3 linked regions of the Lepisosteus oculatus genome follow. The protein of the gene in region 1 interacts with the protein of each later gene in a biochemical or structural test. Links are inferred from orthologs where the notes say so. Each region holds a gene or a part of one and is shown in the gene's direction. Other genes may lie near its edges.

What was found.
Region 2: of the proteins of mcm7 (region 1) and cdc7, one has a biochemical effect on the other in vitro, tested with the Homo sapiens proteins (2 studies listed by BioGRID). The link is inferred for Lepisosteus oculatus from reciprocal best matches to the Homo sapiens genes MCM7 and CDC7.
Region 3: of the proteins of mcm7 (region 1) and dbf4, one has a biochemical effect on the other in vitro, tested with the Homo sapiens proteins (2 studies listed by BioGRID). The link is inferred for Lepisosteus oculatus from reciprocal best matches to the Homo sapiens genes MCM7 and DBF4.

What each region holds. Positions count from the first base shown.
Region 1 is NC_090698.1:12,416,072-12,419,818, forward strand, and holds the start of mcm7 (DNA replication licensing factor MCM7), read left to right. Parts: upstream 1-1,107; 5' UTR 1,108-1,370; coding exon 1,371-1,557; intron 1,558-3,361; coding exon 3,362-3,441; intron 3,442-3,747. UniProt on the Homo sapiens protein: Acts as a component of the MCM2-7 complex (MCM complex) which is the replicative helicase essential for 'once per cell cycle' DNA replication initiation and elongation in eukaryotic cells.
Region 2 is NC_090704.1:1,478,184-1,481,930, forward strand, and holds the start of cdc7 (cell division cycle 7-related protein kinase), read left to right. Parts: upstream 1-1,058; 5' UTR 1,059-1,221; intron 1,222-1,921; 5' UTR 1,922-1,938; coding exon 1,939-1,996; intron 1,997-2,904; coding exon 2,905-2,991; intron 2,992-3,161; coding exon 3,162-3,297; intron 3,298-3,747. UniProt on the Homo sapiens protein: Kinase involved in initiation of DNA replication. Phosphorylates critical substrates that regulate the G1/S phase transition and initiation of DNA replication, such as MCM proteins and CLASPIN.
Region 3 is NC_090705.1:6,476,638-6,480,384, forward strand, and holds the start of dbf4 (protein DBF4 homolog A), read left to right. Parts: upstream 1-944; 5' UTR 945-1,052; intron 1,053-1,507; 5' UTR 1,508-1,558; coding exon 1,559-1,604; intron 1,605-2,272; coding exon 2,273-2,451; intron 2,452-3,229; coding exon 3,230-3,421; intron 3,422-3,512; coding exon 3,513-3,563; intron 3,564-3,747. Other genes in the region: mitochondrial glutathione transporter SLC25A40, read right to left, coding at 17-113. UniProt on the Homo sapiens protein: Regulatory subunit for CDC7 which activates its kinase activity thereby playing a central role in DNA replication and cell proliferation. Required for progression of S phase.

The sequences.
Region 1 (3,747 bases):
CTCCAGGCCCTGCCCAGGCTGAAGGCTGCCTCCTCACTACGGCTCTCCGCTTCACTGGCAGCTGCAGCTGGGTAGACTGGGAGACCCCAGCACAGGTACTCTGTGACCCCTCTTCCAGTTGTTTCAGGTGATTAGACCAAGTTTTCAGCTCGGAGCTTTGTAATGTCCCTGCCTTGAGAGCGAGCATTCCTGGTGCTGGAGGCAGGTCTAATGTCTGAGTCTAACACCAGCGCATGTGCTGGACTGTACTCTGGGGGCTCCCTGGTCCTGGGGTCCCCCAAACCTGCAGCTGAGCTCCTTCCCCGACCCCCGGCCCACACTGGGCTCCTTCTCGGAGGCTGGAGATTTTAACCGCATTAACTTTGTTAATGGCTGGATGGCGCCTTACTGCATTTAGGAAACTTACTACGTTTAGGAATGAACCAGAAAGAAATCAAATTAAACTTTTGTTGAGTCTATTCGTTATGGGTCTCAGTTATTTAATTTAGAGTTAGGGTTAATTGGAGCTCTTGGATTTGTGCTTTATCGTCTTGGAGACCGCCTTTCAACAACCGAGTTTCTTACGCAACCTGAACGAGACTTTCGATTAGGAAGCGGAGAGATTCTGGAGACGGGTGGAGTGGGCAGGTGTGTCGTGCTCCAGCTGCCTCTCTGCAGCGGCGGGGTCGCGTCTCGGCCGCTGCTTTTGTTTCCTGGTGGAGAACCGCGCCAGGCGCGCGCGACCCCTGCTACGCGACCCCACCTCCAGGAGTCTGGCGTGCGCGCGCGCGCGCGACGCTCGAGAGCAGCTGCGCCTCTGACGTCACGCGTCGGGCTCTTTGGCGGGTGATGACGCGCTCGCTGTCGTGAAAGGCTCAGCACGCAGAGCGGCCACATCCGCCCGGAGTGGAGCAGGGGTTTGTAGTGCAGTGTGCGTGCGCGTAAGGGTGTGATTCTCCTGCGAACTTGATTTTTCTTTCCCGGATTACGTGGCGCGAAGGGTCGGGGTGAGGCGAGGGAGGCCTGAGACGCGGGGGTGGTGGTCGTGGTTGGTGTGATGTTTTCTTGGATGAAACGGGGAGCGGGCACTATTTGACGCGCGGAGGGATCGCGGAAGCCCCGCAGGGGGTGGCGAGGCCGAGCAGCCATGTGCTTCTTTGTTTACAAAAGCAGGAGTGAGGAGACGGCGGCGCGGCGTGGGGAGCAGCGCCGGGAAGGAGCCCCGAGTCGCGGCGAGAGCTCGGTGCCACGGGGCCGCCCTTGTCCCCGGCCGGCCGGCCGGCTGGGCGGGCGGAGGAAGCGCGGCGAGGGAGGTGCCGGGCAGCCGAGCTCCGTGCGGCGGCCGTGGGGTGGTTTGCGAGTTCGGCGACCGCGCTCCTGATGAAGCTGCAATGTCTGAGGTCCGCGTGTGTGTTTGTCCCGGTGTTGGTGGGCTCTCTTCCCTCCCCGATCCGAGTTCAGGCTCAGTTTTAAAGACGGAAGAACGGCCGTGGATTGGAGTTCGTGGGCGCCATGTGCGGCACTGTTTACTAGTGGACATCGACTCCCTCTCCAACAAAGAGATCAGCGCGGACACGGGTGGGGAGGTCCTCGCTGTCCCTGCGTGTGGGTGTTTTTTTTTGTTCCGCGGGCGAGCTCTGTTGAAAGCTGCCGTTGCGGGATTGTCTTTGTGAGTCTAGTTGGGCTGTTTTAAAACCGAAAGTGAAATGAACGGGTGAAAGCTGCGCGTGGGTGGCTTCTCGTGGTAAATTTCCATTGGTAGTGATGGTGGGGGTCTTCTGGAGACGCGCAGTGGAGCTTTAAGATTGTGAGGGTGTGTATCCGAGGCTTCGCTGAATTATTTCGTCCGGGGGATAATCTGAGACTCGACATTTTTTGACAGGCGGGCTGTGTTGTTGACATTTTAATTATGAATAAATACTGTTTAAACTAGTGTTTATGTTGCCTGCTCAATGCACGGCGCCGTTCAAGTTTGTACTACTCTAGAGTAGTTAACAGGCAGTCTTGTAACTTTTCTGTGGACTTGTTCATATGGAAACCTGCCTATGTAGATCTTATTTTCAGAAACACTTGTGCCGCGAACGCGTTGTATTTTAGTGGACATTGTAATTTGTCCACGCAGAAAACTTAAATCCAGGTCTGTGATATTAAAAAGATGTGTGACTCCACTGCATGTAGGGGATCATTTTCCGGGGCGCGCAGAGGAGCAGTCTCTTGAGTTTGTGAACTGAAGGTCCGTGATTTCGGTTCAGTGGGAGCTGGGAGCAGCGGTAGCGCTGTAGAGTGGAGTGTCACGGGGGAGGGGGAGGGGAGGTCACGTGCTCTTGGTTTTGTTTACAGCTGGAGCGGTGCGCGGATTGGCTGTCACTCAAGGCCGACTGCGCCAGCACGAGCCGCTTCCACGCGTGTACCCTGTGGCTCCTCTGCGCGGTTTTCCGATGTTGCGTTGTCAGCATGCGTTTCGCCGCCGCCGCTACTCTGTGTCGTGTGCGATAGCGGTTGTGTTTTGTGAGTTGAGAGCTGTGCTTTCGGCAGCACTGCTGTGATGAGTTTGCCTGTCTAGGCTGTCCAACTGCCCAGCATGGTGTCATGATTTAGGGAGGCCTATGTGGTTAGCATGGGCGTCCTCGAGCTGTGAATGCTGGACCCTCTCTGGAGCCAGCAGGGTTGGAATGTCAGAAAGCGATGGCACGTGAGCTCTGCCAGCCCGATCGGACAGTTCTGGGGGGCTCCTGTGCGTGGAGCCAGCGAGTGTCTGCAGTGTGGGGTGGAGAAGCCTGGCCTGCTGTGGGCTGGTCCCGTCGCCTGACACCAGATTAGTGGTCTTCAAGATTAAAGGCTTAGAAAGCTGTCCGGGGCCCTGCTGGAGGAGAGGCCGCTGGCGGCGGGGGGAGCTGGGCCTGTTCACAAGGCCTGGTCCTCTGCGTCCCTGTGGAGGACCTGTTGATCCAATAGAGGCGTTCAGAGCTGTGCCGCACGGGTGTATAGTGATGCCAGAACATGTTCGTGTGCCCCAGCTGTGTGGTGTGGCTTCAGTGTCTCTCCTTCGCACTGACCCCACTCTCTCTGTCTGCTTCTTTAACCTCTGCAGCAGTGCTGGAAAATCCCTTTTGGCTGGGACACAGGGTAACACTCTTCCAAAATTGCCCCCAAGAGTTCAGATCTGCCCCTGCCTCTAACCCACAGTTAGTTTTCCAGCCCTGAAGTCCTGCCTCTGGTGAGACAGGGTTTTCAGAAAGTACTGTGAACTTCGAATTTGAGTTGTGATGCTGTCGTGCAAGGCCTGAGGCCACGCCTGCTGCTTTCTGTTTTCAGTCCTGCCAGACAAGTGTCATGATTGCATTTAAATGCATTTTAAAGGTTGTGTCTTGTCTTCCTCCAGAGAAGTGCAGGAAGTTCCTGCAGGAGTTCTACACTGAGGATGACGCTGGGAAGAAGGTCTTCAAGTACGGCGTTCAGCTGGTGAGGGCTCGGGGCGTGGGGATGGATGTGGCCGTCCACGGCATGCTGTACAGCTAATCAGGATTAGCTGTTGGAGCGCGTGAACTGTGTCCTGTCTGCTTAGTCTGGGGCTCCCCCTACCTGCACTGGCAGCCCTGTGTCCCATCTGCTTAGGTTGGGGTTCCCCCTACTTGCACTGGAGCGTTGCCTGAGTGGAGTTGTCTCCTGTGACCTTTACGTGCTCTGCTTTGGTCATCAGAAATGTGTTTAAATTTGACAGCCGTGAGATCCACATCTTATTTACCTGGAGTTGGGGAGGAGGCAGTC
Region 2 (3,747 bases), on another chromosome or scaffold:
TCGGCTGAAGATAACATCTTTTCAAGTGGTGACCCATTGGTGACAATATTTCATAGCACCCTCGTCATGCACAGCTTAGTCACACCTTACAATGAACGAAAGTCATCATTCCCTTAGTTTCATAACTAGCAAGTTTATAACAGTGCTTTTAAGTGAGATATTTACCCTTTTTAAATTACACATTAAGGACAGTATTTGTGCTGAGCCAACCATATGCAAAAAAATGCATGTTGTTAATAAACAGAGTCATGTATGTTTTTAATGTGCAGGAAAGTGCAGACGCAAGTTCCTTTTCACATCAGGTTTGTCCTTATAGAGCAGCAGAGTCCTGTCTTGGTCCCAGCGGGCTGGTGTGTCTGTGGGTCTTCACTCCAGCTCAGCTCTTAATGAGCTGCACCTGCTGGTGACTGGGTGAACTGGTCCCATTTAACAACTGTCCCCAGGTCTGGAATGCTGCAGCATTGAAGAGACCTAGAAGACCAGCGGACACACTGTCCCTCCAGGACCAGGACTGGACACCCTGTCATGTATATCAGTGCCCAAAACCCTGCCTTCAGGAGCTACAGGTCTCTCGAACACATGGCATCAGGAAAGGCCAGCCTTTCCAGTCCATTACAAGCCTATGACCTCTATTACTGAACTAGTGCTTTATTATCACAGCTGCTGCAGATCATGTGATAATTAAGGATTATCCCGTCGCCCACTTATCCAGCCTCACATACTCACCTGGGAAAGCGCTAGCTAGAATCCAGTCGCTAGACACTTGGGATGCAACAAACAACAACGGCATCACATCAGACTGGAGGAACTGGATGGTGGGCTTCGTGCAGCAAACAGACGGGCAAGAGAAAGGGTCGATCATGCAGTTCGATTCAGTGTCTACGGGCATGACAAATTTACAGAAGTTTTGGTAGAATATATATATATATCTCATCAACAACAGCAGCCTTGTGTGTCTTTCATTTGCATTGCAAAGAGCTGTCCGTGCACAAGAGCAATGGTTCGGCGTGAGGCCGCTGCTCTGCGGGGGACGAGGGGTAGTGCGGTTGCATCGCGTGCCGACGCACGGCCCTGGAGCGAGCCGGAAGCTCTCGCTCTCGCGCTGCGCGGCCCCGCCCTCCCCCCTGACGTCACGTTTGCGCGGGTCGCTCGTCTGCGGGAGGAGGAAGAGAGACGCGGCCGGCCGGCAGCAGCGCCTGGGCTCTCCGCTCCCGTACTGAGGTAACGGGGACGCCTTTGAGCCTCTAGATGAGCGGGGTTAGCGGCGGATGTGCTGTCGGAAGTTTTTGTGCTGGGGTTCTTTAGTCAACACGACCCTGACAGACGCGCGGTTATATTCGCGTTGCTGTTTCTGCGGGTCGCCTCCCGGGGTTTGTTTACAGGGCAGTCCTGCCGGGGCTGATCGGAGATGAGTCGTGCGCTCCCCCCTCCTAACTTCATGTTGTAGCTCGTCCTGAAGTTTGCGGGGTGAGGCGACGTGGCGGCGGTGGCGTGAATCGGCTTTCCTGCGAGTTGCGTGTGCGCCCCGGCTATCCGGGCGCTGTTCCTGCTGTTCCCCCCGGGATGGCACTTGGACAATAAAAGTTCCCGCTGAGCGTTGTGCCACAAGCCGTGATGTTAAACAAGTGGCACACGTGCCCTCCCCCCCCGATGGTCTGCGGGCTCCCGGGGGTCGCACGCTGCAAGCTGTCTGGGGGGTTTATCGTCCTTGCAAGCGGACGGCCCGAAAACACCTCGGGTTTGTTCTCTTCTGCGATGCTCAGACGTGATCGTTTGACAGAGACAAAGAGAACAGTGCGTAAAAAGGAGAAAACCTCATCGGTCTTGACGTGTGTGTGTGTGTCTATGCGCGTTATTGGGTACGTATTTGAACCTGCCCCCCCCCCCCAAAAAAAAAAAGTGACTTTCTGTTGTTCGTCAGGTTTCTGTCTATTGGAGATGGAGTCGGCTCCTTTACAGATGAAGCCGGAGGGGCGCGTTGGAAACTACATCTCGCGTAAGTGGGAGAGAGCTGCTGCCTTCGAATAGACCCCAAAAATAAACTTGAAGTTTTTCCAGCCAGGCAACCTGTTGCTTCATTGAAGGATTTGTCTCCAGGTCCTCAGGACCGAGGTTGCAATACGTATGACACTTCCATTGTACAAGTAACGGATGGGTACTGTACGTGCAGCAGAGCAGGATGGGGTAGTGATGTTCAGCACCGTTTATTTGTCATGTGCTGAACAAGTGCAATGAAATGCTGATTTGCATGTGTGCTCTGATAGGGAGACTTAAACACAGAACAGCAGCAGCAGCAGCAACAAAGTTAAATAAGGTACAACTTAAATACAAGTCAGACAAGCAGCGTGAGAAGAGGAAATAAACATGAGTGTGAGCCAGTGGTAGCGGTAGAGTTCAGTCATCTGACAGCCTGCAGGACGAAACCGCCTCTGAATCTTGAGGTTCGTGCCTTTATGGTCCTGTAATCCCTACCAGAGGGCAGGGGGGCGTACAGTACAATGATATGACAGACGCAGCATGCTGGAAGCGTGGTGCAGGTGCTGTAAGGATTTGAGCAGTGTACTGACGGTGTGGATACCCAGAAAGCGTCCCGTGTGGCCAAGGTGAGTCTCGAGTCAGCGCTGAGCTGTTGTGGTTGTGGGGCGCTCCTCTCTGTACTGGCTGTGCAGGCATGGGGTGTCGTCTTCTGACTCCCATTCCCTCCAAAGCTGTGATTATTCTGATGTATTGATTTCTGAGGTCTGGGTGGCTTACTGGCACACGGGAAACCACACGTGCATTCAATTCTGAAGTAACCTCTTTGTTTTGTAACTCTGAAACCTTATAGTTGCCTTTATATATATATATTTGGTTTGGACAAAATATTGTTTGGTTTAAGTTGTTTTTTGTTTATTTTCTTTACAGGAGAAATCAAAACGGATATTGAAAGCTTGTATGAAGCCATACCCCAGCTCTCCAAAATCTTCGTCATATTGGATAAAATTGGTGAAGGTCTGAACTGCATTAAGCATTTTCTAATATAATGAACTTATTCTTTAGCTTAAGAAGCTGGAGCGCTGTAGCTGAGCAGCTGCAGTCTTGTGGTTTGGCAGCCAGAGCCAGTGTGTGGGGTCTGTGCACGCCGGATGTGTCATAGAAGTGTTTGTGTTTGGGATTAACAGGTACGTTCAGCTCGGTGTACCTGGCGGAGGCACGGTTGACGTCTGGCGCGAAAGAGAAGTTTGCTTTGAAGCACCTGATCCCGACCAGCCACCCGGTCCGGATTGCAGCAGAGCTGCAGTGCCTGACTGTGGCAGGGTGAGTCCTCTGCCCGTCGCCGCCACTGCTGACGCGGACCTGAGCAATAAAAACAAATCGGCCTATTCGCCTTTAAAAGCAGGCCTCTGTTTGACTGGAGGGCCAGGCGTTCCCCTTTCTGGTGATGTCGATATTTTTCCGGCAGTTCTGGTCGTGATTTATAAGTCTGGGGTCTTCCCATGCCTCTGTTGGAACGTGGCTTCTCAGCCTCTGGTCCTCCCGACCTGCACTGCTGCAGTCATGGGATGTGTGCCACTCTGGTCCTTTCTGTGTTGACGCTGCTAACTAAGAGAGAATGCAGGGCCTGGCGGCTGCAGAACCGCGAAGTGGACTGGATGGAAGGGCGTGCCCTTGAGCCGTCTCGTTGCAGGGAATCGTGCTACGCATCCGGTAGGGGAGCGCTGCTCCAGCCCTTCGGGGCCCGGGCGCGGCCGGTTTTCCAGATCCCTT
Region 3 (3,747 bases), on another chromosome or scaffold:
TGAAAGAGTTTCTTACCAAACAGTGAAGTAAGCAGCGCTCCTGAGGAGGAAGCTATCATTTGCTGGACAGGTGTGATGTCATTGAGCACAGACACTGTTCCCTGGCCACTCATCTTGTCCTTAATCAGGAATACAACGGCAATCCTCAAAAGACAAACAAACTGCGAGCTGGCATACACCTGTACTGCTTTTTCCTTCAGACGTGAAATTCAATGTCACTCTGTTCTGAATGTGCATATTTGACATTCTCTAAATCCACTGTTGTTAATTGAATAAAACAAGCATTGTTTTTCCCCTTAAACGAGTTCAACTCCATTAAGTTTTTTAAACTATTTGAAAAACACCCTGGAAAAATTTGATGTTTCTGAGTGCAATACGTACAACCTACCTTGCTAACTCTTCAAAGGCAAGAAAATAAAACTGATACTGTCAAACTGTACAGCTGTGCTCTTTTCCTGGCTGTTTTCTTCACATCAGTTAAATGTCGAGATCGACACTGTACCACATCTGAATTATTCATCGTTAGCATAAAGGCAACGAAACCATTAATTAAATTAGATTAAAGACACTTAGGTAAACTAACTGTTAGGGTTTCAATACAACATGTCTCATCAGGATTCTCTCCAAGGCTCTGACCTATGTGTTACATATGCTGTTCTCACAGCACACATGCTTGGATCACATGACCTATGCCGATGAGTCTATTCTCACATTGGCCACAGCACATTCAACAACACGGACATTTAAATTATGCCTTACTTTTCGAACCTTGAAGAAATGAACGACAAAAATAACACTTTTTACGTATCACAATTCTTACAAAATTAAAAATAATACAATTATTTTATATTTAACTTGTCAGAAGTTCTCTTATGTAATCGCAATGAACAGAAAACATAAATTGCATTTTAAAAAGTGAGACGGAAACTCTGGAATCCAAAATGAAGATAGTTTGAAAGAGAGGTTTCTGGGATACTAACTAGTCGAAGCGGGAAAGAAGAAAGTTGTGTTAAGGAAAATTTGAATTGTTTCATTCTTTAGCATTCATAACGGTAAGTATTTTGTTCGGGTGGGCAAGATTAATCATTATGAATCTGATTTCGATATAATTCGTGGCTATTAAGAGTTAGTATGCGGTTCGTTCTCAGCAGGCTTATCACGGTTGTTTGCTCTCATACAGTAGCAGTCTACTTCCAAGTTAAATGTCGGTAGTTTTTTTTAAAAAAAGCAGACGTGTTTCTGTACGTTCGTAACGACTACGCATTTTATGCAATGTGCAATTTTAAACTGATCTACTGTTCTAAAATATGTGTAGTTTTTAAAAGCACATTAACACAGTAGTTTGATTAATTTTTTAAACAACATGTTTTTGCAGGGTGTTTTTCATGTTTTTCGATGAGCTATGTTGCTTTACTTCTGGATCATAATTTGCTTTATAAAATCCTCACGACTCGTGTTGAAACAATGCGTGCATTATTAGATGTCTTTTCTATGTTTCTTTCAACAGAAGCCATTATAGAAGGTGTCCCTACTCCCCCAAATGTAATATATACTGAAAATGAAAAATAGGGTTACCTCCCAGGATGTTAATGTCAAGTTGCAAGGTATTTTAGTTTCTTAAACATACCATGGAGAAAAATGTCATTGAATATTGAGATTTTTGTGCAGATCACCAGAAAGTATTCTGTTTAACTTGTTTGCCTTAACCAAAACACACTGTTTGATATTGCATCAATACTTTGGCCAAGTTATTGTAGAAAATATATGAAGAAATATACATAAGTAGACATGACACATAGAGTAACAAGTTTAAGTATTTGTTTTTAGTGTAGAGTCAAATTGAAGCCTAATGCTCACCCAGAGCTATTCTTTCGAAAGGATGTAGCTGCATGGTAACTTGAATCTGTTACTGTCCTAGGTTGGATTTGATTAAATTAGAAAAACACATTCTCCAAAATGTATTATAAGTCTGTTAAAGCATGATGAAATATATGATCCCCACAAATTCAAAGTGCAAATGGAGAAATGTGAAAAGTATTCTTATGTATGGGAAAATATTTTCTAACGTTTCCCAATCTGGCATGTTTGAAACTTTGCAAGCGTATTAAACAGGTCATTACATTTCATTCACCTACTTTTCTTACCCTCTGACATGCTGTTATTCTGCTACTATTGGGAAATGTGGGTGTAATCTTTAAAATTGCTCTCCTATGTTTTTGTTTGAGCAAGAGCAACCTGAAAAACCCCTGATATCGTGTCCATTCTTTAACAGACTCAAAATCGATTGACAAAACAGAGCAGAACAAGGTGACATTAAAAAGTGTGCTGCAAACAGCAAATGGGTCTTCAGGACTGAAAACCAAACCTCTGGCTGGAAAACTATTTTATCTAGATCTGCCATTCAGTAAGACCACTGAGGCCTTGGAGAAAGACATTCAAAAGCTTGGTGGGGTAAGATATTTTTAAGTACAAATATGAATATTTTTGCATTTTACTGTTTGTATTTTGTGTATCCACGTGTGTATAAATATGGAATATTAAGCATTATTCAGATTTAACAATGGATCTAAGCTGTTATTGTTCTACCACTTTCAAAGTTATTACTTTTGTGACTGAACAAACCTAAACCTTTAGGACCACAGTTATTATAACTTTGGAAGTATTTGTCTTGAAAACTGAAGAAGTTAATTAGAAATGATAACGGCACAAGCATGTTTGCATATGTGGAGGCTGTTTGTTGTTTTTTGAAAGATGCAAAGGTTTTGGTTTAGTAACCAAGTCTGACAAGATAGATTTTTCCAGACTGTCACAACACTTTATATATAAAAATGTTGTGACAGTCTGGTTTTAAATGTACTTCCCCTTACTTACCACTTGTATTTTCCTATTCGCACTGTTGATTCTGCCAGTGGCCGTAGGATCTATGTTATCTGTGAGGGTTTTGAATGAAGAGTGAGATTTCTGTTTTCGAGGCTAAAACTATTTATTTTTGCCTGGCATTTCTTTGAACCTGATATGTGTCTGAATGGATTTCTTGCCACATTATCATAATTCCCTAATGGTTCTCTCACTTCAGTTTTCCTCTATCCTGGTTGCTTAGAAAGACTTGATTCCCTCTAGCAGTTATAACAAACTGAGTAAGGAAGCAGACATGAAATTGGGCTTTAAAGTGGTAATGCTGCTCTTATTAAGTCTACATTACATGTATAACAGATTTATTTCATTTTAGACCATTGAGAGGTTCTTCAGCAAGGACATTCGATATCTTGTTTCCAATAAGAAAGAGGCAAAATTTGTGAAATCAGTTGGAAGAAATTCTCCTTTATCAAGCCCTGGCTCTCCCAATACCACTGGGAACAGCTCGCCTTGCCTCAGCAGCCGAAGAGGAAGCTGTAAAGTAAGCTCGCAGGATGCTGCAGACGTGAGTTTGTTATGAACTTTTCCTAACATTTTTTTTCATTCCTCTTAGCATTTCTGTGATTGTATAGTTACAATGCCCTTTTTGTGTGCAGGCAATAAAAAGCAGAGGGAAATCACTGGTGGAAAAAGTTGTCAAGGAACAGGTAAATATTCTGTCAAGTGTCTCCATCTACTGTAAGCAGGATTTTATATAGAATGTTGATATGTTCTGGGAGAGTGTTTCTACATTTCAGAACATTTGCTGCTGAAAATGTTGAAATAATTTTCATTTTATATATTTTACATGGTACATATCATATGAGGGTGATCAGTGCCATATAAGTTTTG